7 linked regions of the Oryctolagus cuniculus genome follow. The protein of the gene in region 2 binds, or shares a complex with, the protein of the main gene of each other region. Links are inferred from orthologs where the notes say so. Each region holds a gene or a part of one and is shown on either strand. Other genes may lie near its edges.

Region 1 (4,285 bases), on a different chromosome or scaffold from region 2:
GGTGCAGGAGCCCAAGTACTTGGGCCATCGTCCACTACTTCCCCAGGAGCATTAACAGGAAACTGGATCAGAAGAGGAGCAGCTGGGACACCAACCAGTGCCCATATGGGATGCCAGTGTCGCAGGCATCAACTTTACCCACTACACCACAATGACACACCTCTGTACTAGAGAAGCATTACTGAGCAAAATGGAGAAAGGTAGTTGGAGATAGTGTCACAGGTTAGGGTGGGAATGGAGATTTTCCACCATCCCTGATACCAGGCGTAACAGGTGCTTTACCTGCCTCTTTCCAAACCCTGCTCAGGAGCAGAGGAAAGGGATGAGACATTTGGAGAGTGGAGCCAGGAGCTTCATCCGGGTCTCCCTCGTGGGTGCAGGGGCCCAAGGACTTAAGTCATCTTCCGCTGCTTTCCAAGATCCAGCCAGCCCCGGGATCTCCATGCCTCTAATCTCTATCCCAGACAATCCATGTATCATACTGCAGCCGCGGTACCTGTCCAAAATGCAGAGATCACACCACCAACCTGGGTTAAAACCTCACCCGTCTCCTGTTGCTTTCCTAGGCACATTCCTAGGGAGCTGGATTGGAAGTGGAGCACCCGAGTCTTGAAGGGAGCCCACGTGGAAGGCCAGCATCACAGATGGCAACGTGGCACGATGCTAACCCCTACTGAAAGATGTCAAGTGAAGGAGTGACGGGCTCAGATTACCTTGGAAAAGGATCTCTCTGGCTTCAGGTTAAGTTCAAGCCATTCCTATGCTTGAAATCACTGTATTGACTGGGAAAGTTCCAGAATCCAGGGAGCTGAAAAGTCCTCACAGACACCTCCTTTAGTAACATGCCATGGGGTTGGGGGTCAAGGAGAGACAGGCCACTGGCACCGTGGTTGACGCTGGGCCCGCGTTCTATATTGGAGTGCCTGACTTTAGTTCTGACTTCCGCTTCGGGCCAGTGCAGACCCTGGGAGGCAGCGGTGGTGGCTGAAGTACTTGAGGTCCTGCCACTTGTTAGGTTTTTAGCACTGTAGGGTTCAAAGGAAGTGAGAAGGCCAGTTAAAGTACAGCAGACTTTATTTTAGGAGGGATAGATTGAAGGGGAGTAAAGACAGTAGGGGTTGGGCCTGCATGGACAGAGAGGCACGGGTCTTCCCATTCGGTCACTCAGCAGAGCACTCTGGGCGCTGGGGACATAAGGGGACCTCTGAGGCGGCCATCGGCCATCAAGGGCCCACTTTTCGTTTTCCGCCTCCGGCCGAGGCTCTGTCAGACGACCTAGAACAGAAAAAAAACAAAACAAAACAAAACAAAACAAAACAACAAGGCCCACGGCCTGGCGGTTGGCGGGGGTCTTCCCACTACCAAAAACCAGGCCTCGTCGCATTCACACAGCGGCGGGAACCGGGGCGGCACAGCGGCGGGAACCGGGGTGGCACCGCGGCCGTCCAGGGGTGGGGGCGCCTACAACTCCCGGCAGCCTCCGCGCGCGGGCGGCCGAAACCTACGCTCCCGCACTGGCCCTGCCCGCTGGGGCCACGAGTCTGCCGAGGACCAAGGTCGGGTGTTTACAGGACCCGAGATCCGTCCTGTTGTCACATACCCGGAGAGGGACAGCTGGGAGCTCCGGAGGAAAAAAAGGTTTTTTTTTTTTTTTTTTTGCGGAGTAAAGCGGGACGGCACTCGTTCGCTCCCGATTTTCGCGCGCTTTGGCGCGGGTGGTTGTGGGTAGCGCGCCCGGAGGGAGAAAGGCGCGGGGGTATCTGCGGCGCGCCGCCCGCGGGGCCTGAGGGGATGTTCGAGGACGAACCCCACGCCGAGGGCGCGGCGGTGGTCGCCGCGGCCGGGGCGGCGCTGCAGGCCCTGTGCCAGGAGCTGAACCTGGACGAAGGGAGCGCGGCCGAAGCCCTGGACGACTTCGCCACCATCCGGGGCAACTACAGCTTAGAGGTGAGCGGCGGCAGGTGGGCGGCCGGACGACCCTCGCCGGGCCCCTCCCCGCCCCGCCCCTACCCCAGCCTATGGGGTGGTGGGAGCTTCCCCGGCGAGCAGGGTCGCTGCCCAGCCGGGCGCAGAGGAGTGCAGAGACGGGTGGGTGGAGAGGAGCCGACCCACCCATGTTCGTGCGGCGGGAAACGGAAGCCCAGAACCGGAGCGGCTTGGCCGAGACCCCGCGCCACTCAGGGGTCTCCGGAGCCCAGACCTTGCCTCCTCCCCATGCAGTGCGGCTTACGTTCTGGTACTGAAGTGTAGCGGTGGGAAAGCGCCAATGAATTGCGTGCTAAGGCACCACTGCTCAGCGCTTCGAACCTGCCCTGGGATCCCCGTTCCCTGGAAGGGGAAGCGAAGCCCCCAGAGAGGTCAGGCTCCTTGCCCGAGGTCTCAGGGTTAGCGAGGAGTCGGAGCCATTGAACCTGCCCAGCTTCTGCCTCCCCCCGGGGTGGAGGTGTGCCTCGCTTATTCTGAACACGGGATGGTACCGTAGTTTGGTCAAAGGCGGTTCACACCCAAAGCTTATCTCTCAGCGCCAGGTTCTACCATCAGTTCTTAATCCGGATGTTTAGCCCTGCCTGTAGTACAGCCCCACGTGCAGAACACTGTCATTGCTCCCTAAACAACACCGCAAAACAGTTATTTGCATAACATTTAGGATGTATAGGTATTATAAGTAACCTAGGGATAATTTAAAGTATACTGGTAGATATGGATAAATTATATACAAATACTACACTTTATAAGAGAGAGTTGAGGCACAGGTCTTAGGTACAGCAGTTAGGACACCACTCGGGAAACCCACATCCTGTATCAGAATACCAGGATTTGAGTCCCTACTCTGTTTTCAATTCCAGATTCCTGCTGATTGACACCCTAGGATTCAGCAGGTGAAGACTCAAGTACTTGAGTTCCTACCACCCACATGGGAGCCCCTGATGGAGTTCTAGGCTCTTGGCTTCAGCCTGGCCTGGTGTCAGCCAGGTCCAGCCCCAGCTGGGGAGCGTATCAGTGGCTGAAAAATCTCTTTTTGTCTCTCTTTCAAATAAATAAATAATTAATTTTTTCCAGAAAAAAGGACTTGAGCATTATTGGTTTTTTTTCTCTGCTGGGGTCCTGGAACCAGTTCCCTACAGATAGCCTGGGACAGCTGTATTTCAGCATATCCACACCATTTCAGTGGCCTTCTGTTCAAAGGCTTTCATGAACCAAGAGGGCTGGATTTACAAGGTGCTCCACTGACTCACCATCTTGTGGGGTCAAAGCATAGAGCTGGAAATTTGAAGTTGACCATGGGAAGCCAGGAGCTTCATCCAGGTTCTCCTACGTAGGTGGCAGGGACCCAAATACCTAGGCCATCTGCTGCTGCTTTCCCAGGCCATTAGCTTGGGGCAGGATCACTGTGAGCAGGCCATGAATCAGTGTCTGTATAGGTTGCCTGCAATGCAGGTGGTGGCTTTATGCACTATGCCACGATGCTGGCCCCAACCTACCCCTTTTAATTATTGCAAGAAATACTTATCAATCTTTTATGCTTCTGGAGTGTAGTGTTAAAGAAGATTTGTAGAACAGTAAGAGGAGCATTGTATTACATTTTGGGATCGGTTTATGTAATTCTTTTTTTTTTTTTTTTTTTTTTTTTTTGACAGGCAGAGTTAGATAGTGAGAGAGACAGAGAGAAAGGTCTTCCTTTCATTGGTTCACCCCCCAAATGGCTGCTACACTGCACCCATCCGAAGCCAGGAGCCAGGTGCTTCCTCCTGGTCTCCCATGCAGGTGCAGGGCCCAAGCACTTGGGCCATGCTCCACTGCCCTCCCAGGTCACAGCAGAGAGCTGGACTGGAAGAGGAGCAACTGGGACTAGAACCCGGCACCCATATGGGATGCCGGCGCCGCAAGTGGAGGATTAGCCAGTGAGCCACGGCGCCGGCCCCATCTGTAATTCTTAATCATTAAGTGTAACCTGTATTTCAGAAATGAAGTCATAAAGTGGTTTTAGCTTAGAGATATCTTAGATCTAAAGGAGAAAATTAATGTCGAACTCCCTAATGCCACCTTTTTTGTAGCTTTTTACAGAGATATCTTCTAAGATATAAAACCATAGTTACAAAGATAACGTTTGGTTAAATGATTCCCCAGATTTTTACCTCACAAAAATAATGCATTATTAAGATAAGTATTTGTTGTGTGGGACTCCCTTGCCCATTTTCTGCTCTGTTTTGGCCTTTTTCTGCCATACTAGTAAAAAGAAACTAAAGTGGTAGAAAAGAACCAGTGTCATAAAGGCCACATGGGA
Region 2 (3,500 bases):
CTTGGGTCATCTTGCACTACCCTCCCAGGCCATAGCAGGGAGCTGGATTGGAAGTGGAATAGTCAAGACTCGAACAGCACCCATACATGATGGGGGCACTGCAGGTGGCAGCTTTACCAGCTACGCCACAGCGCTGGCCACCCCCACATTCTTTTTTCTTTTTCTTTTTTTGACAGGCAGAGTTAGACAGTAAGAGAGAGAGAGACAGAGAGAAAGATCTTCCTTCTGCTGTTTCAACCCCCAAATGGCTGCCACGGCCGGCGCGCTGCACCGATCCGAAGCCAGGAGCCAGGTGCTTCCTCCTGGTCTCCCATGCGGGTGCAGAGCCCAAGGATTTGGGCCATTCTCCACTGCCTTCCTGGGCCACAACAGAGAGCCGGACTGAAAGAGGAGCAACTGGGACTAGAACTCGGTGTGCCAGCGCCACAGGCGGAGGATTAGCCAAGTGAGCTGTGGCGCCAGCTACCCCCACATTCTTAATATGACTCATTCTTATTGTCATTTAGATCTTAGCTTTGCTGTCATCTCACAGAGGCCTTCCTACACCACCAAGCCAAAATTACGCATTTCCCACTTTTCTTATCCTACTTTATTTCTTTTGTACTGATATTTTTATTTATTTGTTTTTCTGTTCTTCTGTTCATGCTGCCACATTTCCAATGAGAATGTAAGCTTCATGGAAGTAGGGCCCTTCTTTGTCTTATTCCCTGCAATATCTCTGTTGCTCAGAACTACTGATATATGGGCATGCAGTTTATCTTTAGAACTTTTTAAAAAAAATCTACTTTGATCAGTTGTAGCAGTTTGTTTTTATACTTTGTACAAGAAATACAGTATTAAAATGTGTGGAATAAATTTTATTTTTTGTTCTAAATTATACACTTTAATTTCTTAGGACTGATAATTCTATCAAAAATCATTGGAATTCTACTATGCGAAGAAAAGTGGAACAGGAGGGATACTTACAAGATGGAGTAAAATCAGAACGATCATCTAAACTTCAACACAAACCTTGTGCGACCATGGACCATTTGCAAACCCAGAATCAGTTTTACATACCTGTTCAGGCACATATTTTTAATACCTTTATTATTCAAAAATTTTTCTTTAGTTGCATTTAGGAAGGTATTTGATTTATTAATAGGACAAGTACAACATATATTAAGCAGGGGATAACCATTTAAATTTCTAAACTGAAATAAAATGTCTGATTAGATCCTAACTTAGATAAGTATTTTGGGAAAAAAATCATTAACATTTCCTTTTATATGTAATTTTTACATTAGGCAACTGAGTATGTATGTTTCCTACCACTCTTATTCTTTCAATCTTTGTTTATGATTCAGAACTAATGATCATATGCTTTAATAGATACTATAGTTTTCATTTAAATTTTTTGTGTGATTGTAGTATTGCTTGTCTGTTAGAGGTATGTGTATATAAAATAGCTTAAAGAAGAAAATAGTCAAAAATCATTCAAATCATCATTTTGGGGGTTAAATAATTATTCTTAATGACTTTCAGATTTGATGATGTCAGTCTTTTATTAGACAAATTTATTGAAGTGGAGATTATCTAAGCTCCAAATGGGGCAAGCTGTATTTGGCTCCTTACAGTGCATTTTCTTACTTGTATGAAATTAGTTTACCAGTATCCATGAAGTTTGTTTTATGTTTTTCTAATCAACTTGTCTGTCATGTCATTTAAATTTTTTTATTTAATTGGAGAGACAGAGAGAAGGAAGAGAGACAGGCAGAGAGAGATGCCACCCGCTGATTCGCTCCCCAAATGTTTGCCACAGCTGGGCTGGGCCAGGCCCATGCCAGAAGCCAGGAACTCAGTCTGGGTATCCTATGTTACTGTTCTCCCCTTCCAGGGTGTGTATTAGCAGGAAGTTGGAATCAAAAGTGGAGCTGGGATTCAAATCCAGGGACTACCATATGGGACGTGGGTGTCCCAAGTGGTTTCTCAACTGCTGTGCCAAATGCCCACCCCTGTTACATCACTTTTCCCAAGGAGCAATTCTCAGTTCTTATAATGTAAAATGTAAAGATTAAGCCAGAACTTAATAACATTTATTGAAAGATAGAATTGAACAAGGTGATAAAAATCTGTACTTACTGTGCCTTTGTTCTTATTTTGTATCTTGTAGTCTTTATTAAGTTTATTAGGCTTAGTTTTATTTAAAAATTTTTATTTCTTTTTGTTTTATTTGAAAGGCAGACAGACAAAGAGACAAGACAGACACTTTTTGTCTGTTACGTCAGCCCTCACATGCCTTTAGCAGGGCTGGGCCAGGCCAAAGCTAAGAGCCAGGAACTTCATCTGGGTCTCTCACATGGGTGGCAGGGATTGGTACTTGAACCTCTTACCAGCTGCCTCCCAGGATGTACATTAGCTGGAAGCTGGGGTGGAAGCAGGATAGCTAGGTTAAATAGACTTTCCAGTATGAGACGCTGGTGTCCCACGTGGCAACTTAATTGCTGCACCAGACTTCTGCCCCTAGGCGTAAATTTTAAAAGAATCACTTAGAGTAATGACATTGTAGTTTACAAAAGGAAAGCATGTGAAGATAGTGTAGTTATCTGCTGATACTCAGTACCTTGAGATTTTTATTGCCTGTTTCTTTACATTTTTTTAAGAGTTCTAGATTTCAGTAATATAAACTAAAACATTTTGCTTATGCCTTAGAAGTTATCATTTAAATTTATTTTCTTAAAATCATAAAAAGATAATTTTAAAAATTATTTGGGCAATAGGAGCATTTAAAAGTCTTAATCAGGCTGGCACCACGGCTCACTTGGCTAATCCTCTGCCTGTGGCACCGGCACCCCGGGTTCTAGTCCCGGTTGGGGTGCCAGATTCTGTCCCAGTTGCTCTTCTTCCAGTCCAACTCTATGCTGTGGCCCGGGAGTGCAGTGGAGGATGGCCCAAGTGCATGGGCTCTGCACCCGCATGGGAGACCAGGAGGAAGCACCTGACTCCTGGCTTCAGATCGGCACAGTGTGCCGGCCGTAGCAGCCATTTGGGGAGTGAACCAACAGAAAGGAAGATCTTTCTCTCTGTCTCTCTCTCACTAGCTCTGCCTGTCCCAAAAAAAAAAAAAAAAAAAAAAAAGTCTTAATCAAAAGATGTTGCAAAGATAGCATTTCTCATACTTTAATAATTGTTTCCCTTATTTTTAATAATTTTAGAAAGTTTTATGTATTCCCTGTCAATTATCTTAAACTACCAAGAAGACAATTCTGTAGTAAAGTGTAACTTAAAAAAAATAGATTGGATTGAAATATTATCAGATTTTCATGAAAAATTTGAGGAATATAAGTTTCTGTTAGAAGTTGTATAGAATGATTCTGCATAAGATAGTGGTTTAGGTAGGTTGTTATGGATAGTAGACAGATGTTTTCATACTTACATTTATTTGATTTTAAGGGTTTTTAAAAATCTTTTGTTAAAGATTTATTTATTTATTTGAAAGATAAGAGTTACAGAGATATGGA
Region 3 (4,089 bases), on a different chromosome or scaffold from region 2:
GTCCTCTGTGCTCCAATGGCAATTACATACTGTTGCACACCATGTTACATTTACATTCTTTTACCTTTTCTATTGCTGTGTAGTCTCGTCTCAAACACCGAGCATTTATTAACTGAGTGGTCTTTCACAGCCTGTTTTTCCGACTTCACATTCGGATGTCTTGTAACTAGTGGGGATAATAATAGAAAAGATGACTAAATACAAAGAAATTTGACTCCGTTAGTCTTAGCTGTATACAGTATTGCAAAAAAGGCAAGAAGTCCCTTACAAAATAAGTTTAATTCTGCGTGGTTTCCCAGGGGCTTTTTAGCGACTCCTGCAAAAGCAGTACCTATAAAACCAAGAGATTCGGCTTTTGTGCCGAATCGCCGCCTTAGGAGCACATCAAACAGGGAGGATGCTGGAGGACGCACCTCCAGCATGGACTTCCTAACAAGGGAAGCGAGGCGAGAAGGCGGCCTCTGCCAACTGCTGGCGCGATCCGGGATCACCGTCCCCCACCCCCGGCTCGGCGAGATGGAACATTCCGTGCGAAAGCTTTGACAAGGCGCCCAGTCGGAGTCACGTGGAGCCGGAGCGTACTCACGGAGCCTTGCGGAATGACGCGGCTCGGGTTGCCAAGGGGCGGGGCCAGGCGCCGCGGAAGGGGCGGGGCGAAGGAAGCCGGCCCGGGGAGCTAAGCGAGGCGGGGCAGGGCGGGCGGAGTGGAGGGGCGGGCAGAGAGGGGCGCGCGGGCGGGGAGGGCCCGGCGTATTATGGGATGCGGCGGTGGAATGGCGCTGGGCGCGTGATTTTGAACAAACCCGGGTCTGTGCCTCGGAGGCGCCGCCGCCGCCGCGGCTGCTGGGAGCCCAGGGAGCGCGGCGCAAGGAGGAGGCGGCGGCGCCGCCGGCTTTGGTGAGTGTCAGCCCCTGAGATGGGGGCTACCGGGCGGGCGGGAAAGGGGGAGCCAGTCTCCGCTGCGAATGGCAGCGCGGGCGGAGGGCGCCGAACCGCTCCCCCCCGGGAGCCTGGGCGGCGGGGCAGTGGCGGAGAGCGGGCACCTGCCGCCTGGGGGCCGCCGCGCCCCATCCCCGGGCCGCAGGGGGCGGACGATCCTCAGGGCACGGCCCCTTCCCGCCGGCCCCCGGGAGGGCGGCTGTCACTCGGCAGGGCCAACGCCGTGCCGGCCGCCCTGCCCGGCTGACTGGAGGAAGGACTCCTACGGCTGTGGACAGGCGCACAGCGCGGTCCGAGAAGCCGGCCGTGTGGGCCCCGGTGTCAGGGAACCGGTTTTGCTGCTGTGTCATTTGGTATCAGCCCCTCCTTTGCCTGCTGCCCGCCGCCGCCTTCTTCCTACGCCCCTTTGTATGGACTCTTCTTCGTGTGCGTCCGTTTTCCTCGCGAAGCCCACCAGCTAAATGTCACAGTGTTCCCGCGGTGCACGGGGGAAGGGAGCGGGCTGGGGCTCAGCTTGGCCACGCAACGGTAAACAGCCCAGCAGGGTGCGGGTGGACCGGGCTGTCGGTGGGTTGGTGAAGTTTAAGGATGAGGGAATTGGGAACACTTTAGACTCGGAGCGCCGAGCAGGCTGCACAGGAAAGCGGGGGTTGGAGCGGCTGGAGGATAGCACTTGTTTACGCCTGGAGCCGCCGACTTTTGTATGGAGTTGCCTTTCACACAAGGTGGAAATAAATGGCTTTTTCCACTTCCACCTTCCTCTCCTCAGACTAACTTTTCAAAAAAGGCACTGAGAGTGGCTGTATTCGCAACCTTGAAGTTCAATTTGCTTGTTTTACGTAGGTCCTTTAGAGCTTATGGCGTGGTTTAGTGGTATAGAATTTATCTTTTGAAGGGGTGATCTTTCTGAAATTAACAATGGTAACTGATTTTTTTCCAAATGCTGATTTCATCAGAAGCTTTGCAGCTAATGTTTTTCTTCTTAGGTGATTAGAAAATATGTATGTTCTCCTTTAATTGCTTATTAAACTGAATGATGACAGGAACTGGTGGGAGTATGGGGCAACTGGGGTCTTATTCTAAAGCAAACTGTTTATTTTCACTGTATTGAACAAAACAGCAGCGGCAGATGGTTTTTCAATTTGATGACTTAGATCCTAAAAACATTTGGCAAGAAATTTTAGCTTAGAGCTATATTTTCCGTATTTTGGAAATTGATCGTGAATGTTTCCACAATTGGATCAGTACATTTCAAATCCAGTCGCACTTTGAAGTCCGGTCGTCACAGTGTTCGTGGACAGAAGTGACCAGATTAAAGTTGAGTGGAGAGGGAAACAGTTCGGATCCTGGGTTTTAACTGGTGGCTTGTTTTTGACCGCCTACCTGGCTGAGGGTCGGTGCCTGTAGTTTAGGAAAGTGTCAGAGAGGTCAGGGCTAGCATATGGAAATCGCTCGTCCTGTCAAAGTAGTTCTGCGGTTAGAGTAATACGTCAAAGTTGGTGAGTGACATTCACGGTGCGGACAATGTTTGTAGCGTCTGAGATGGACGCCGCGAAAGAAGCCCACGCCTCCACCTCCCTCAAGTTGGTTTCGTGAAAATGAGGGAGTTTGGGCTCTTTATTGTCCCGGTGCCGCCTTCTGCTGGGCTGCCTTTGCACACAAGCCTATGCCGGACTTGGGACCCGCCGGGAGAGCGACTTCCTCTGGCGCCGCGGCGGGGCCGCCGGGCTCGGCGTGTGGTTCGGGGGTGAAAGGTTGGCGTGGCCCGTGAGCACTTGTTCCTCCGGGTGCGTTTGAAGGTTGGCGGGGCCGGCGGGAGGCTTCCCCGGATATGTGGGTGTGCGCCTCTCGGGAGGGGCGGGCCGGGGCGGGGACGGGGAGGCGGGGGGCCGGCTGCTGGCGGCGGCGGCGGCGGCCCGGGCTCGGGCTGCCGGGGAAGCTGCTGAGCTGTGATGGTGATGACGAGGTGAAAATGGCGGATCTTTCGAAATACAATCCCGGCCCCTGACATACCAGAGGCGGCGGCCGCGGCGACGTCGCCGCCCGGGCTCGCTCCCCGGCCCCCGGGTACCCTGCAGCGCTCCAGTCTGGGCCAACTGGGGAAGGAGGCGGCCGGCCGGAGCTACCGTGTCAGGCAAACAAGCACCGCCCGGGCTCGGGATTGCCCGGGACCTTCTGGAGCCCCCACCTCGGAGCCCGAGGGAGGAGAGAGCGGCCGCCGCTGGAGGTAGAGGAGGCTGGGGGTACCCCGAGGGCTCCTCTGGGTAGAGATCGCTGCGTTTCGAGGGGTGCCGGCGGGTGGGGGAAGAATTGCGTTGTGGATCGAGGCATGACTTGCCCGGAGTGCAAAGAAGCAGTAGCCTCGTCATGACATCAACATTATTCTTTGAGGGTGAAGAGGGCTCGAGTTTGCTCTTACACCTCAGGCGCTGCTGAGGCCTAGAGGAACCGCTAGCACTTACCATGATTTCCTGATGTGATACTGAAAATATCCACTCTGCCGGGTGTTGGTTGGGTGGTGTTCACCAGTTTAGGGGGTTGTATGTTTCTTTCGGGAGGCAGAGCATTGGCATTTTATTCTGCATTTAAGGTCTTGGATCACAACCTATAACTTGTTGGGGTGTTGGATGCTCACAGTTTTTGATCATAAGCACCACTATGAAGCCATTACCAATGTTATTTTTTTTCTTTCATGGCTCTGTCATCCATCAAGTGACCCCTTTGCCCCTGCCATTTGGCTGATAACAATTGAGATACTGTTAGTGATATTTTATAACCTTTGCTTTTCAGAGAAGTTCTTCTCTGCCCTCACCCCCTGCCCCCCCACCCCCAGTCCAATTTCTTGAATCCAGATAGTTAAGTTGTGAAGATTTTGCTGTGGATACAATCCAAGTGAAATACAGCTCTGGGAGCTCTATTTTGGTCATGAGTTTTACCTTCATTGTTAAGAAGGAGAGTTGTGATGGCTTGCTGCCAGCATTTGATATGAGGTTGTTAAGTCGGTAAAGATAAATTGAGATTTCTGTTACATTCTAAATGCTGGATTTATCAGTCCTTTGTTTAGAGAGCAGGAGAATTGGATTGATTTTTATGATGGCCATACTGTGATTTTGGTAGATCATCTAAAGATCCATGTATGTTTCGGTTGTG
Region 4 (3,500 bases), on a different chromosome or scaffold from region 2:
GGCCAGGGTGTTAACCCGCTGCGTCACAGCGCCGGCCCCTATAAGGCTTTTCTTAAGCAGAAATGCATTTTAAGTTTTGTTCTTTTTATAAATCTTTTTGAACCTTAAGTACTACAGGTAGATTTGATTATTTTACTTAAAGTACATACAATTAAAGTAGCCTTACCATTTTATATTCCAAACCAGGGCGAAGATAAACAGAAAAAGACCCCTGAACTTTGGTTTACGTTTGGAGTGAGGATAAGGTCCGAAGTGCAGTGCCACCTACAGTGCCACTGGAGGGAGGGGCAGAGATGAGGCCACCACAAAGGCAGAGAGCAGGATGCAGGCAGCAAGGGGAGGAGGCGGGCGCCCTGGTGTGGTCCCCCAGACACTAGCGAAGACCACAGTCAGAGATCAGCCACTCTGAACCCACGTAGGTGGAGAAGCAGCCGGACAGGCAGGGCGGGTAAGGAAAACACAAACCCGGCATCTTTACCTGTAGGAGGAGCTCCTGCAGCTGGGCCCGCTTCTGTTTTATCCGCTCTATCCGCCTTTGCTTCTCTATCTGTAAAGGTTACAAAACACAGACCCGGGGAGAGCATAAAGGACTGCTCACTTTTCACGTCCCTATTTCTGACACAGCAAGAATTTTCCTTAGAGAAACGCAACCCATTTTACCCATCTTTAGGGACGTGGATTTGGGATGAGAAAGCAGGCACCCCAGTAGAAATATGGCAACTGTCTTTAGAAATGAAATTCAAGTGTTCGCTGAACACTTGGCTGGTAGTACCTGTTGCCGTTATCACTCACGTTCTAGTCAAAGCAGCCAGCACTCAGCTCATGCGGTCACACTACCCCAGGAATGAGGCAAGATCTCGCCGATCGTGGCCTACTTGAGCCCCCAATGAGTGGGACTGCTAACCTCGTCACCACACATGTGCAACACAAAGTCCTGTGTGCAGTGAGAAACACGCATGGCACACTTCCCAGCTGGAAGCAACTAGCGTTCTTTCTCTATTCTACAATGACCTAGAAAGCAACCAGAAGGGGTCTGAAGTTCCTTGCAGTTGATGTCTTTCCTGAGCAGACGTCAAAGCCTTCTGTCAAGTAAAATCTACAGGAGGTCATTGGTTTCGACTGAGCTCCTGCACCAGGCCCAAAAGACCCCACCACAGTGGAGTCCCTGGCGCTAACGTCTGGGCACTGAGCCCAGACCACAGCGTTACTTTGACTCTCGGGGAGACCAGAAGAGGGGGAGGTAAGAGCTGCCCTGGACAGGCCGGTTCCAGTGGGCCTGACAGGGCCCCTGTGCTTCCCGTGAGAAGGGCCGACCCACACCGCTCTGCCTTGCATCTCTTCAGCCCTGTTTTGCCCGTACGGCCAGCCTGCTCTGCCAGCTCACCACAGCAGTTACTGTGTTTTACAGAACAGGGTGCTGCCCAACCCTGGAATCCCCAGGGGGAAAAAAAATTCCAATTCAAATCTTAACTAAATTTGCTGAAATTCTGTCTTTTGAGATATCAAATAACATCTTTTTGGGGGTCTACCCCCCAGATTGCTTCTTACTTGTTCCCCACCTACTTAGGAACTTCTGCCCATGCTCCCCCTCACCACCTTAACACCAAGCTTCACTGTGAAATCTCAGGCTGTCCACCCTTGAAGAACATCGTGCGGGAGTTCATCCAGGCCAAGCCTCCACCCGCCCACATCCAGCCAGGCCAAGCCGCACTGTCCCTGCCTCTAACCCCACTGACACTGCCCTAACCCCGACCAGCCACTGGCTTCCTCCCTGCCCCTTCTCTTTCCCCATCTCCCTTTAACTTCACCTCCAGCCCACACTGAGACACGTCCTGTAAAACATCCTATTACCAACCGTTTCCCAACATTACGGCATCAGGGCCACCCTGCCCAGCACTGAAAATCTGACCCTTCTCCACGCCCACTCTCGGCCAGACATGGCCTGGGCTGTCAAGGCCTGTCCTACACCACCCAGCGCCTCCCCTTCTCCATGGGCACCCTCCACTCCTGCCCCTCCCTCGTGACCCGGCACAGGGGTTACTCCCCTGTAGCCTCTTTCCTAGGAGTAACCACACTCTGGGAACTCTCGGACACTCCTCTCTAAAAGCACAGCGACAGGTCCTGGGGTGGAACCTGGGGCTGAGCACGAGGTGCACAATGACGGATCTTCACCTGCTGAGCCTCTGGATTCAGCAGAACGTTACTGATACGAAAGTTATGTTCAAATTCTACTATGTTAGGAGGAATAAAAAGAAGGGCCTTGTCACTCCAGTGTGTGAATAACGTTATTCTACAACTTTCGATGAGAGCCTGGCTTCTCCCCGGGGAAAGGGAATGAGAAAGACCAAAAAAAAAAAAAAAAAAAAAAAAAAAAGTCAACCTTAATTATCTCTAAAACCCAAATTTAAGCTTAGTTTACTCCAATTCACGACAATAAACAGATTTAGAAACAATATGTCAGGGGACATGCTCACTTAGGGATGAATTTCTACAATGGGCAAGGTTAGCAGAACTAAAGATGTTTTGCCCACATTACTCCAAAGTTCCTTTACGTTGAACACTGTCCATCCTGATAAAGACACAAATGAAATACCATTCTGTTGCTACTGATTTCAGAGCCAAGGGTGAAAGGTTAGCTTTCACAGCTACCTTTAGAGGAACACAGAAATAAACATGCGGCTTGATCCTTTTCTTCTGATCCACACAGCAAGCCTTTCATAAAATTAAGGTGGTATTTCTAGTACACAGTTCACCAAAATTAGTAGAGTACTCAGAATTAGAATAAAAAAAAAAAAGACCTTCTCTAAGAAACAGCAAGAATCACTTTAAGTCATTTAACTTTCCTATCCCTTAGTGTCATCACTGACAAGACTGCTGAGTATACTGCTACTGTTCCTTCCAGTTCCGAATTCTAAAGTGAGAGTCCATTGGAAAAATGATGTCATATTTAAGAACTGCGACTATTTCAATTTTATGTGATTATATGTCTAAACTAAAATGTATCCGATGTAAAATAATGCAAGCAATCACCCACAAACAGGCGGGGGCCTGCTCGCTCACCTCCAGGTTCTGACACTCCTGGGCAGAGTTGGTGGGCAGCCCGAGCCACTTAATTTCTTTTTTTTCCTTTGAAATTATGTTCATCGCCATTAGCACATTTAAAGCATCATAAACTCTTCGCCTAATGTTCTTCTGATCGTAAGCCTGCTAAAAAACATTTTTATTGAGTGATAAATGTTATGGTTAAAATACAGTCACATGATATCAACATATTAAATTAATAATATTCAGATACTTTTTTTTTTTTTTTTGGACAGGTAGAGTTACAGACAGTGAGAGAGAGAGAGACAGAGAGAAAGGTCTTCCTTCCGTTGGTTCATCCCCCAAATGGCTGCTACAGGCCAGCGCGCTGCGCCGATCTGAAGCCAGGAGCCAGGTGCTTCCTCCTGGTCTCCCATGTGGGTGCAGGCACCCAAGCACTTGGGCCATCCTCCACTGCC
Region 5 (3,500 bases), on a different chromosome or scaffold from region 2:
TCCTGTGAAGGCACACCCTGGAAGGCAGCAGGTGATAACTCGGGTACTTGAGTCTCTGACACCCATGAGGGTGAGTTGAGCTGAGTTCTTGACTCTTGACTCCAGCCATTGTGGACATTAGGGGAGTGAACCAGCAGATGAGAATTCTGTCTCTCCCACTCTCTCCATATCTTTACTTCCTCAGGTAAGTAAACGAAATTACTAGAATGTTTATTTGTTAAGCAATAACAAAAAATTCCATGTTGAATCGTTGTGAGTAATTATCAGTTTACAGATATACTCAATGTTAAAAATGTTCATTTTTACTTGCTGGAACTGTTATTAATCTCTGTTTTTTATTGCATAGAAATTTACAGCGACAATGTCAACACCAGATAAGAAAGCATCACAGAAGATTGGTTTCCGATTACGTAACCTCCTCAAGCTTCCCAAAGCTCATAAATGGTGCATATATGAGTGGTTCTATTCAAATATAGATAAGTATGTATCATGGCTATTACTTGGACTAGAAATTTAAGTTTCTCAAATGTTATAAGCTACAACTTTTTTAATAGGTCTAATTTGATCCTTTTTCTCCTTGAGTCTGTTTTCCTATTTCTTCTTTCCAGTTCAGTTTGTTTTTATTTCTCATGTTTTTCTTCCTTCCCCTTTTTAGGGAAGAAGCTATATATTTTTGTGAAAAATTAAATGAAAGCATACTTTATATATTATAATTTATAAAGACTATGGAGATAACCTAAGCAGAACACCTTAACTTGCAAAGAATGAGATTTTTTTTGGAAATCTTGAAATTTTATGTCCTAGTATAAGAGTGGAGAAATTGTTATTCATGGTAAAGATAACTCAAGAATTTTAGGAGAGTATTCTTTCTAGTTTGAGGATAGTACTTAATTAAGCACTTTATAAATGTGTAAGTAGAACATAGTAAAAAATTTGGCTGCAATCCAGTTATTCAACAACAGAATTTACTGAGGAAACATTCTGATTTGTAATCCGTATTCATATGCCCATCACTGGGGCTTACTTTGCTGGCTATTTAGCTTTACTTCTTTTCTCTGCTTTCCAAACCAGTTGCCTCCTCTAAAGCTTGTGAATCTCATGAATATTCATATTTCAGTCCAAAGCATTTATGTATCATTGCTAAGACTGGGTCCTGGTTTCCCAAACTCATGAATAGAGGTTTTTTGTTCTTGTCCACAGGTTTTCTGTAGGTTTTCTGTAGAGCTTTCAACATGTCCTTGTGTGATCTGAGATTCACAAAAACTAATCCAAACCTCTAGAGTCCTCCAGTGTTCTAAACTTGGCTTAGTCCTAAAGAGAACTCCTTGGTGATGGTATTACCTTTGGGACAAAGATACTTTGTTGTTAACATTACTTCTCTTTACAGACGTAATGCCAAGGCCAGGATAGCCTCCCAAAGGATGTTCTTAAGTAGCAGATTGAACAAAAATCAGTGTCTCCTGGAATCTCTAGCACAAACAGCATTTCCTGAGTTACTTTCATACATAGTTTCACAAATGCCAAAGATTAGTTTAGTTTTAACGCTTTGAATTGGTGCCTTTCTATATATATATATATATATATACACACATATATATATCATATATATAGTGTAAGTAAAAATTTGGCATTTTTGGATTAGCACAATAGAGAAAATTGGAGTGCATATTTTGAATTTTATGTCTTTTAAGAACATAAGACATTGTACATTAACCATTAAAATACCATGTCTGTTTTACAGACCACTTTTTGAAGGTGATAATGACTTCTGTGTATGTCTAAAGGAATCTTTTCCTAATCTGAAAACAAGAAAGTTAACAAGAGTAGAATGGGGAAAAATCAGGAGGCTTATGGGAAAACCACGGAGGTAATAATGTTTGTTTAAAATTGATTAATAGTTGATAGTATCATTGCTACATTGATTTTCTTATCTTCAAAATGACTAGTACCAAAACATAACTTTTAGAATACTTGATTATATGTTAAATATATCCTGTTAACCAACTGTATTATAGGTGCTTTTTGTTCTTATGCATCATATCATTAAAGGTGTAATTTGATTTTTTGTTCAGCTCACAGGTTTTGAACATAATTATATTCTAAATTATTCATTCTATTTTCCGAAAAATATTTAGTAATATCTTAACACGTATTTAAGGAGGCTATATAAGGTTATCTGTGTATTGTTAATGTCTCTTGTGAAAACCTTTATTGCCTCAAGAGCCTGTTTCACGTTCTATAAAAATAGAAACTAAGTTAATCTATCCAATATGTTAACTTTCCAAGAATTACTCTTTGTGTGAAATGACTTCCTATTCCAGTGTTATCTTTGTAGCATATCGGAAAGCCTGTGTTACTTGTGAGTAGAAATTTGAGCTATATTAGAATAAGATCATTAGGCCGGCCCCACGGCTCACTAGGCTAATCCTCTGCCTAGCGGCGCCGGCACACCGGGTTCTAGTCCCGGTTGGGGCGCCGGATTCTGTCCCGGTTGCCCCTCTTCCAGGCCAGCTCTCTGCTGTGGCCAGGGAGTGCAGTGGAGGATGGCCCAGGTGCTTGGGCCCTGCGCCCCATGGGAGACCAGGAAAAAGCACCTGGCTCCTGGCTCCTGCCATCGGATCAGCGCGGTGCGCCGGCCGCGGCGGCCATTGGAGGGTGAACCAACGGCAAAGGAAGACCTTTCTCTCTGTCTCTCTCTCTCACTGTCCACTCTGCCTGTCAAAAAAAAAAAAAAAAAAAAAGAATAAGATCATTAGTTCTCACATTGTCTGTCTGCCAAGAAAAAGCACGTGCAAGACTTTTTCGTTTTAAGTGATAGGAATGGTCAAAGAAGGCCTAGAAATATAAAGTGATTTGGAGAAGGAGAAATGGAATTTAATTTTAATGATCCCTATTGCATGGGGAACATCCGGCCTATGGGTCCTGTGAGGCCTGTGAAATCATTTGGTCTGGCCTTACAAAGGCTACTGTAGGTGGGACTCAAAATTCAATAAATCTTAAGTAAATAAGTAATTTTTTTTAAAAAAGGAATGAACAATTGATACATACAACCAGGTAGAATTCAGAAAACTTAATGCTTAATGAAAGAAGCCTTACAAAATAGTATATACTAGATGATTCCATATATATAAACTTTCAGAAGATAGAAACTATACTGAGAGAAAACAACTTAGTGGTTGCTTGAGAAAAGAGGTATAAGAAAGGAAGCAATATAAAAGAAAATGCACAAGAAACTTGTGGATGTGTTCATGTGTTCACTGTGTTGTGAGGGATTTTATAATTTATATATAATACGCATATATCAAAATTTACCAAATAGTACACTTTAAACATATATAATTAAATGCTGATTATACTTCAAAATGTTAACAAACAGAAATTTCAAAACAGAATTGAGGAAAGTGAGTACAAGAGAGGAAATGGTAATTTTGGTATTCAAGGAAGCAAACATTTGGAATTGTCAACTGTAGGAGGATAGTATGAGTCCTTTGTTCTTAAAT
Region 6 (3,500 bases), on a different chromosome or scaffold from region 2:
AACAGATGCAAGATCTTTTTCTTTGTAACTCTGGCTTTCAAATAAACACATAATTAAAAAAAAATCTTATTCAGCATCTACATCTTTACCTTAGAGTTGTGCACGTACATATTATTTTGTTTCTAGGGTCCCAAGGACATTCCAGGATGCCAAGTTAAGATCTCCTAGGATAATCTTTCCCCATAAGGGGTAAAATGGTGAATTTGACTTAGAGCCTTCTAAGCCAGGCAGTGTAGACTACTCATAGTGGTTTCTAGATTCAGATTACCTGAACCTAGAAATCCTTTTAAATCCTGGCTCTTCTAGCTATGTGACATGAAGCATCATCCCTGTTCTTGGTTTTTCTCAATTGTAAAATAAGGATAATGCCTACTTGGTTAGGTTGATTTGGTTGTAAATAACATGGTGCATGTAAAGTCTTTTGTTTGGCACGAGTTGGTGCTGCTGAGTAATTGTAATTCTGTAAGAGAGATGGACCCAAAGCTGAAATTACACTTCTCAGTCCATTGGAAAATGCGTATGTGGAATCCCTCGTCCAGCTCTTTCCAGGAGATCCTCTTGAGAACCTGATATTGGAAATCAGTACGTCTGGGATACAGCCAAAGCATTTATGTATTTTTTAAAATTACATAGGTGATTCTCGAGTGCAACTGAGATTGAAAACTGCTGATCCAAAGCTGTTCTTACAAGCAAGTTAGTGTATGCCTAGAATAATAGTGTTAGTGGTCACACCTAATTCTGCTAAGATCATTTCTCCAAGACCAACTTTAAAGATAAAAAGAATTATTCTGTAAGGTGACTATTTGTAGATCATATCAACCTGGATAAACTGAAGACAATGTTTTCAGACAACCTGAAGGTTGTATGTGTGACCAGCTACATTTCCTAAAGGAAGGAAAAGGCGGTCTCATCACGCTGTGTACCTGTCTGAATGGTTATATTCTTATTTTCTGACAGCCTATTACTAGCTCCCCACCCAAATGGATGGCTGAAATAGAACGTGATGATATTGACATGTTGAAAGGTAAGCAACACCATTTATGTTCCTCTACAAATCACCTTTGCTATTGTTTTTTCACTATTTCCTTACAAGTATGAAGATACTTCAAAAAATTCATGGAAAAATGGAATTAAAAATGAGTGTATTTTAGTGCAAAAAATATTGAAATCCAAGATTTGTTACAATTGAAATTAAGTTCATTTTTTATTTTATAAAATCTAAGATTTGTTAGAAAGAATTAAAATTTTAAAGTTCATCTTTTATTTTAAGTCTAGTCTCTTTCCACTATAACACAAGTCCCTTATTTAGGATTGACCGTCATGTGCTGTTGTCAGTTCCTTACCTTAGTGAGTTAAAACCTACCTTTATTTCTTTCTGGCCCATCAATTTCTTCCATACAGAATACCATAAGTAGTGAATGCTGTTGTTTGATAAATGATTTGGAACTTATTCACAAAGTAGAAGTTTAAATTAAAAAACATTAATTTTCCTTGATTTTCCTGTACTTTATTTATTTTTCATCATCCTTCTGGTGATAAGATTCATGATGGTTGTGAAATAATAGACTGAAATTAAAGTGAGAACCCAGGATTCTTGAACTATTTAAGCAGCTGAACAGATCAGGAAGGCTTGCTTATGCCAGATATAGATAATGACTGCAGCATGATAAATGGGAGAAAAAAACCTTTATTTGATTTCAGAAGTAATTCATTGTTCTGTGTGAAATGCTGAAACGTAGATCCCTTCCTCTACCCATGGAAAAATTAAGTTTCAAGGACATCTAAAAGGTTCATTGTTCTAATGTGTGAAATAGTATTTATATAACACCCTATCAGTGTGTATTTCCTAGAGAAACTTTAAATTTTTCGTTAAGGGTAATACCAGTATGTTTCATTTAAATTGACTTGTGTCTTAAACTTAAAAAGAATTAAGTGTTATTTAAATGAAAATCTGGGGAGGTAAGTTGTTATTTTAGGTATACTCTCTGAAGGGAAAATATGTATTTATATTTAGGCTTTGTTTTCTAAACTCATGGAAATGGGGAATAGTAAGCATATTGTTGCTGTTTTATTGTTATTGAAATAATTGTGACTTATAAATGACAAAGGATATAGTGTATATTGACAGGATAATATATAATGACAAGATATAATTTTGCAAGATAGAGATCTGTCAGCAAGGCTTTCTCAATGCTATGTCAAGTCATACAAAGTTTTATATTTTAATGATACACTCATTTTGTGTAATAGACTAAATGAATGGAATAAAAGGCTCTTTAGGGTAAAACACTTCATTTATTATTGTACTTGTGCTTTCCTTATTAAGTGGGTAAGCTCATCTGAGACACTCTGCAATAGTGTAAAAATTCACTGATTTTGTGTGTATGTATGTGCGTATAAGATTGGAGAAAGTGTAAGAACCCATTTTCTACTTATTCAATAGAAATTAAGCTTGAAGGCAGACATTTATGTAGTAGTTAACATGCTGCTTGGCATATCCACATTCTGTATTAGAGTCCAAGGTTCAAATTCTGGCTCCAGCTTCTTGCCAGGATGCACACTGTGGGGACAGTGTGTGGTATCTCAAGTATGTGAGCCCCTGCTACCCATGTGGGAAGTACAGATTGAGTTCTCAGTCCCCAGCTTAGGCCTGACCCAACCACAGCCGTTGCAGGTGTTTGGGGAATGAACTAGCAAATGGGAGATTTCTCTCTCTCTCCCTTTCTGCCTCAAATAAATAAATAAGTAAATCAGTAAATAAATATTTAAGGAACCCATTTTTAAAAAGTAAAAAAAAAATTAAGCTTGAAAAATATTCCCAACCCAAATGAAATATTACTAGAAGATAGTAGGAAGAAATAGTATTGAAATAAATGATTCTGTTTCAGAACTGGGAAGCCTCACCACGGCTAATTTGATGGAGAAGGTACGAGGCCTACAGAACCTGGCCTATCAGCTGGGACTGGATGAGTGTGAGTACCCAGATCCCATTTATTCAGGGCTATATGTTGCACATTCCAGGATGAGTTCTAGTTATAATTCAGAAAATGTCTTTATTAAATAAAGGAAAGTGTTCTGAAGGTAAGAAGTCAATGTAATTTAAAGTCTATCTTTTATGATAAGTATGCTGGAATAATAACTGGACTTACTAGACACTATGTCTCACTGCAGTACGTTTTAAGCAATAGAATGTTGACACAGATGAGCTCAAACAGAAGAGAGACTTTATTATTTCTTAGTTTGCATAGTTTTAAAGTCCAGGGACAGAAATAGGCCTGAGGCTGTAGATCCATGACTTACTGATACGAGTGGGTGTGCTTTTGTTCGTCTTAAAGCTTTGCCTCACTTGTGCGTGAGTCACATTCTTTGCTGCTGCAGGTAGCTTTTTCCTGGCACTGAGGAAAGAACTGCAGTTTATGTGTCTTTAAATATAATGATTCCAAAGGAAACAAAGAATGTCTTTTTCTGAGTATTCCCTCCCCACCCCAAAAAAACAGTTC
Region 7 (4,099 bases), on a different chromosome or scaffold from region 2:
GTGCGAGACAGAGATCTTCAGTCTGCCCACAACAGCCAGGGCTGGGCCAGGCAGAAGCCAGGAACCAAGAACTCCATCCAGGTCCCCCATGTGGTGGCAGAGACCCAGGTACTTGAGCCATCACCTGCTGCCTCCAAGGGTGCAGATTAGGGGTCAGAGGCAGAGCTGGGCCTTGAAGCCCTGTGGGGTTCAGGTGACATGATCAGTGTCCTCATCCCTGGGCCAAACACCGCTCCCCCCAGCCCCATCAACCTTCTCTAAGGACCTACTGTGTGCTAACCAGACAGGAAGGTTTCTGCCACAAAGAAACCGAACTGCTGGCACAGAGGACAGGCTGCCAGGGTGGGGCTCTCCTGGGCAGGAGTGGGTGCAGTGGGTGTGGATGGGGTGGGACTTGGAGGTGTGCAGAGGGGTGCAGGGTGGGAGAGCCCTTGTTATGGCTGTGTGGGACTCCGTGCAGCCTGGGCTCGGGACCGGCCTCCACAGCCTGCCGCCAGCCCTAGGTGACAGCTGTGTCTGCAGGGCAGGGCCCAGTTCCACTCTCCGTGGAAAGGCTGCCTGCCCTGGCGCCCAGGAGGTGTGGAGTCGCTGGGACTCTGTGAGGAAGCCGCCGGGATGCGGAGCAGGGCTGGAGACCTCCCCTCCCCTCCCCTCCCTGCCCAGACACCTGCGCCAGCTCAGCGCCTGCCTCCACCCCTGCATCCATGCAAACCAACGCGCCCAGGACCCTGGTCTGTGCGGCACCCTCGCGCTTGGCTTGCCTCCATCTGCTACTCCTCCACGTGCACACTTGCACCTGACCCCTTCTCCTCCCTGTGCACACGCACTGGTGTACACAGCAGCCCCAGCCCCATGCACACAGGCGAGCACACAACTGGCCCCCTTTTCCATGCACACAGCAAGTGCTCTTGGCCTCCTGCCCTGCAGGTGCCTCCTCTCCACCCCCTACACCCATGTCTCGCCTCCAGCTCTGCCCCCCACCCCGGCCCCCTTGCAGCTCTGTGTGCGCACACACAGCTTGGGTCTCCTCCCACAGTCTCGCTCCGTGCATACACACACACACACACACACACACACACACACTCATGCGCGCACACACGTGGCCCCTCTGACCCGCGCGCGCATCCCTAGCGCCGGCTGGCTCCATCCCGTCCGGCGCACGCGCAGGCTCGAACACGCGCGCACGGCCCTCCCCTCCCCCAGGGCGGCAGCGCCGGCGGGAGGAGCGGGAGCAGGAGGGGCGGAGGAGGAGGAGGGCGCCGAGGAGGAGGAGGGCTCCGAAGGCGCGAAAATGCGCGCAGGCGCGCTGCGCGGAGCGGGCCCGCCGCCGCCCACGTCACCGCGCCGCGCGCACGTCACGCCGGCCCGACGCTCGGCCAGGGTGAGCCCCGCGTCCCGGCGCCGCTGGCCCAGGGCAGGGACCCCGCCAGGGCCGGGAGCGCCGCCCGGCCCCCGCCGCCCGCCCGCGCCCCGCGGCCGTGTCCCCGCGCGGCCCGCGCCCCAGACTGCGCGGCCATACCGGGCGAGCCAGGTGCGGGCGGCGGAGGATGCGGTGGGAGCCGGCGCGACGGGGCCGGGCGAGCGCGGGGCGCGGGCCACGCGGGGCGCGGGCGGGCGGCGGCCCCCGAGCTGCGTCCCCGCCGCGTGCGGGCGCCGCGCGGCCCCGGCCCTCCCGCGCCCTCCGGGCCCCGCGCGCTCCTGGGCGCCGGGGCCCCGCGCCAGGCGCCCTTGCTGCGGGCGGGGGCTCCCAGGTGACCGGGCGGGGCGGGCGGGGGTACGGGGCCTGGCCTCCGGGGCCGATGGCCGCGCCCGCGCCTTGGGGGTCGGGGTCGGGGTCGGGGCCGGGCCGCGCGGGGCGGGGCGGGAGGCGCCGCGGGGCTGGAGTGCGCGCGGTGGCTGCGGCCTAGTGACAGATCGCAGCGGGCGGGGACCCGAGAGCCCACCTGTCAGAGTTACCGGTCGGCGGCCGAGCAGCCCGGCGCGCAGCCCCTGGAGGGTCCGGGGGAAGACCTGGGAACTTGCACGTTTGGGCTGTGCCCTGTTGGGTGGTCGTGTGCGCCTAAGTGGGGGACCCAAGCCCACCCTGCGGAGGCGGGCAGCGCGCCCCGGGCTCACCGCGGTCTCGCCTCCGGACCGGCCATTTGGGGTGCGCGGGGCGGGGGGGTTCCGGGCTGCTCGCGGGGTCTGAGGGTGGCGAGCGCTGCGAGAGCCTTGCGTCCAGGCTCTAGCGAGAAATCTCAGCCGCCAGGCCCTCGTGCAGGCGGGGGAGACGTCTCCTTTAAAGTGGGACATCTTGTAAACTTAGTTTTTCATCCTTGCTCATTTTTCTTTTTTCTCTCTCTTTTTTTTTTTTTTAACCAGAAAAGTCTTTTCTTCCTTGGAGAGTGAATGTTGATAGCATTGGTTTCCTGGACCTGGTAACATGGCAAAAGATGTGAGTACCTTTGCTTAATGCTCAAACACCTGTGCCTGGCACCAGCCCCTCCTGTTTGTGCCTTTGTCAGAGGGGCAAAACCTGAGTTATTAGTATTTCCTGGCTTTTTAAGAGAGGTTGGTTTGTTTATTTGGAAGGGTGAGAGACAGAGGGAGAGCTTCCATTAGCCGGTTCACTCCCCAGATGGCCATATGGCCACATAGCCACATCTGGGTCGGGCCAAAGCCAACAGTTTCATCTGGGTCTCCCAGCCTGATGACAGAGGCCCAGGCAGTTGGGCCATCTTCTGCCCTCCCAGGCGCATTAGCAGGAAGCTGGAGCAGAAGCAGAGCAGCCGGGACTTGAACTGGTGCTCCTATGGGATGCTGGCATTGCAGGTGCCCACTGAACCCTCTGCGTGCCACAATACCATCCCCTTCTCGGTAACTTTTTAAAGTTGGGTGGAGAAATAGGCTCTTAGGTCCAAGAATGAACTGAGTTTCCCATCATGCCGTCAGATTCCCTGAAACGCGGGGTCTTTGCACACTGGTGCAGACGGGCTGCGTGCTCGTCTCCTGCATAGAGCTGGAAGCAGGCTGGTCCTGCTGCCTCTGTGCGCGACTGCAGGTTGGGTGGCTTTGGAGCGCCTTCTGTCAGCTCAGATTTCCCGAACTTCCTGAGCCGCGTCCTCTGTCTGTGCCGGTCAGGGGCTCCCTGTCCTCGGATGCAGGCCTGCGCAGGGAGGCGCGCAGCCCTCCGGGCGCTGTGTGCAGGGTTTTGGTTTGATGTTCATTTTAAAACTGCTGTCATTTGGTTGGTGCCATCACTCCTGGAGGTGCCAACATGTGGCAGGTGCCCCGAAGCAGCTGGACTCCCACAGTTGCCCAGAAAGGGTGGTGCCAGACCCATGCCCAGCCGCATGCTTCTGGTTTCTGGACCAGTTTGCTCTCGTCTCTTTAAATGCTTAGATACTCACTGATGTCATCTTCGAAGCCCTTTGTGGTTCCACGTTGGTGTGGCTGGCACCGTCTGTGTGGCACGGAGAGAGGCGTGGGAGGGAAGGACAGACAGGTGCTGGAGGAGGGGGACCCCGCCACCCCAGCAAGGTCGCCGGGCCAGGGCACGGGCTGTGCTGGCCCCCTAGCTGGTCATCGTTGCATTTGAAGGACTCGGAGTGTGTGCTGTTGGGAGGTGGCAGGGTCTCACGGGCTGAGGAGTGGCTGTGGGGCAGACTGGCAAGGTGGCCTCCGTGTTCTACAGACAAGGGCTGTGCTGGTCCCGTGGCTGGTGACGCTGCTTTCTTGTCATCCACGTGCTCTTAGGCGGTGGCAGGGTCTCACGGGCTGAGATGCAGCTGGCAGGGCAGAATGGCAGGGTGGCCTCCGTGTTCTGCAGACAAGAAGTCAGGGTGTCGGGGACAAGCTGGAAATGGAGGCTGTGGGCAGGTGATGCTGGAGGGTGGATGGGCGACCAGCAAGGGTGAGGGCCCGTGGGGGGCCAGTGGCTGTGTTGTGCACAGGTTGCCTGATGAGGTTGTTGCAGAGTGGGCCCTCTGGTGTGAATTGAGGGGCCCAGAGCCCGCTGGGGGCCCCTAAGCTAGTTTTTGGTGCCCCCTGCTCATCTCATGCGGTGATTTCTGCGGTCATGAGCAGCTTCTGATCGCACAGGCCTCTGTGTGGCCTCTGG

The links.
Region 1: MYBL1 (region 2) and RBL1 share a complex: the UniProt entries of both Homo sapiens proteins name them as parts of the DREAM complex. The link is inferred for Oryctolagus cuniculus from reciprocal best matches to the Homo sapiens genes MYBL1 and RBL1.
Region 3: MYBL1 (region 2) and LIN54 share a complex: the UniProt entries of both Homo sapiens proteins name them as parts of the DREAM complex. The link is inferred for Oryctolagus cuniculus from reciprocal best matches to the Homo sapiens genes MYBL1 and LIN54.
Region 4: MYBL1 (region 2) and TFDP2 share a complex: the UniProt entries of both Homo sapiens proteins name them as parts of the DREAM complex. The link is inferred for Oryctolagus cuniculus from reciprocal best matches to the Homo sapiens genes MYBL1 and TFDP2.
Region 5: MYBL1 (region 2) and LIN9 share a complex: the UniProt entries of both Homo sapiens proteins name them as parts of the DREAM complex. The link is inferred for Oryctolagus cuniculus from reciprocal best matches to the Homo sapiens genes MYBL1 and LIN9.
Region 6: MYBL1 (region 2) and LIN52 share a complex: the UniProt entries of both Homo sapiens proteins name them as parts of the DREAM complex. The link is inferred for Oryctolagus cuniculus from reciprocal best matches to the Homo sapiens genes MYBL1 and LIN52.
Region 7: MYBL1 (region 2) and TFDP1 share a complex: the UniProt entries of both Homo sapiens proteins name them as parts of the DREAM complex. The link is inferred for Oryctolagus cuniculus from reciprocal best matches to the Homo sapiens genes MYBL1 and TFDP1.

What each region holds. Positions count from the first base shown.
Region 1 is NC_091442.1:21,409,143-21,413,427, forward strand, and holds the start of RBL1 (retinoblastoma-like protein 1), read left to right. Parts: upstream 1-1,485; 5' UTR 1,486-1,791; coding exon 1,792-1,947; intron 1,948-4,285. UniProt on the Homo sapiens protein: Key regulator of entry into cell division. Directly involved in heterochromatin formation by maintaining overall chromatin structure and, in particular, that of constitutive heterochromatin by stabilizing histone methylation.
Region 2 is NC_091437.1:92,251,480-92,254,979, reverse strand, and holds part of MYBL1 (myb-related protein A), read left to right. Parts: intron 1-895; coding exon 896-1,067; intron 1,068-3,500. UniProt on the Homo sapiens protein: Transcription factor that specifically recognizes the sequence 5'-YAAC[GT]G-3'.
Region 3 is NC_091439.1:82,838,234-82,842,322, forward strand, and holds the start of LIN54 (protein lin-54 homolog), read left to right. Parts: upstream 1-1,289; 5' UTR 1,290-1,400; coding exon 1,401-1,467; intron 1,468-2,613; exon of another isoform or gene 2,614-2,726; intron 2,727-3,032; exon of another isoform or gene 3,033-3,166; intron 3,167-4,089. Other genes in the region: uncharacterized protein, read right to left, coding at 65-166, 269-923, 1,044-1,289. UniProt on the Homo sapiens protein: Component of the DREAM complex, a multiprotein complex that can both act as a transcription activator or repressor depending on the context. In G0 phase, the complex binds to more than 800 promoters and is required for repression of E2F target genes.
Region 4 is NC_091435.1:139,892,016-139,895,515, reverse strand, and holds part of TFDP2 (transcription factor Dp-2), read right to left. Parts: intron 3,208-3,500; coding exon 3,061-3,207; intron 548-3,060; coding exon 479-547; intron 1-478. UniProt on the Homo sapiens protein: Can stimulate E2F-dependent transcription.
Region 5 is NC_091444.1:39,131,860-39,135,359, forward strand, and holds part of LIN9 (protein lin-9 homolog), read left to right. Parts: intron 1-346; coding exon 347-480; intron 481-1,741; coding exon 1,742-1,867; intron 1,868-3,500. UniProt on the Homo sapiens protein: Acts as a tumor suppressor. Inhibits DNA synthesis. Its ability to inhibit oncogenic transformation is mediated through its association with RB1. Plays a role in the expression of genes required for the G1/S transition.
Region 6 is NC_091451.1:20,268,162-20,271,661, forward strand, and holds part of LIN52 (protein lin-52 homolog), read left to right. Parts: intron 1-957; coding exon 958-1,024; intron 1,025-2,888; coding exon 2,889-2,972; intron 2,973-3,500.
Region 7 is NC_091440.1:500,667-504,765, reverse strand, and holds the start of TFDP1 (transcription factor Dp-1), read left to right. Parts: upstream 1-1,299; 5' UTR 1,300-1,381; intron 1,382-1,392; exon of another isoform or gene 1,393-1,531; intron 1,532-1,727; exon of another isoform or gene 1,728-1,751; intron 1,752-2,124; exon of another isoform or gene 2,125-2,146; intron 2,147-2,361; 5' UTR 2,362-2,422; coding exon 2,423-2,434; intron 2,435-4,099. UniProt on the Homo sapiens protein: Can stimulate E2F-dependent transcription.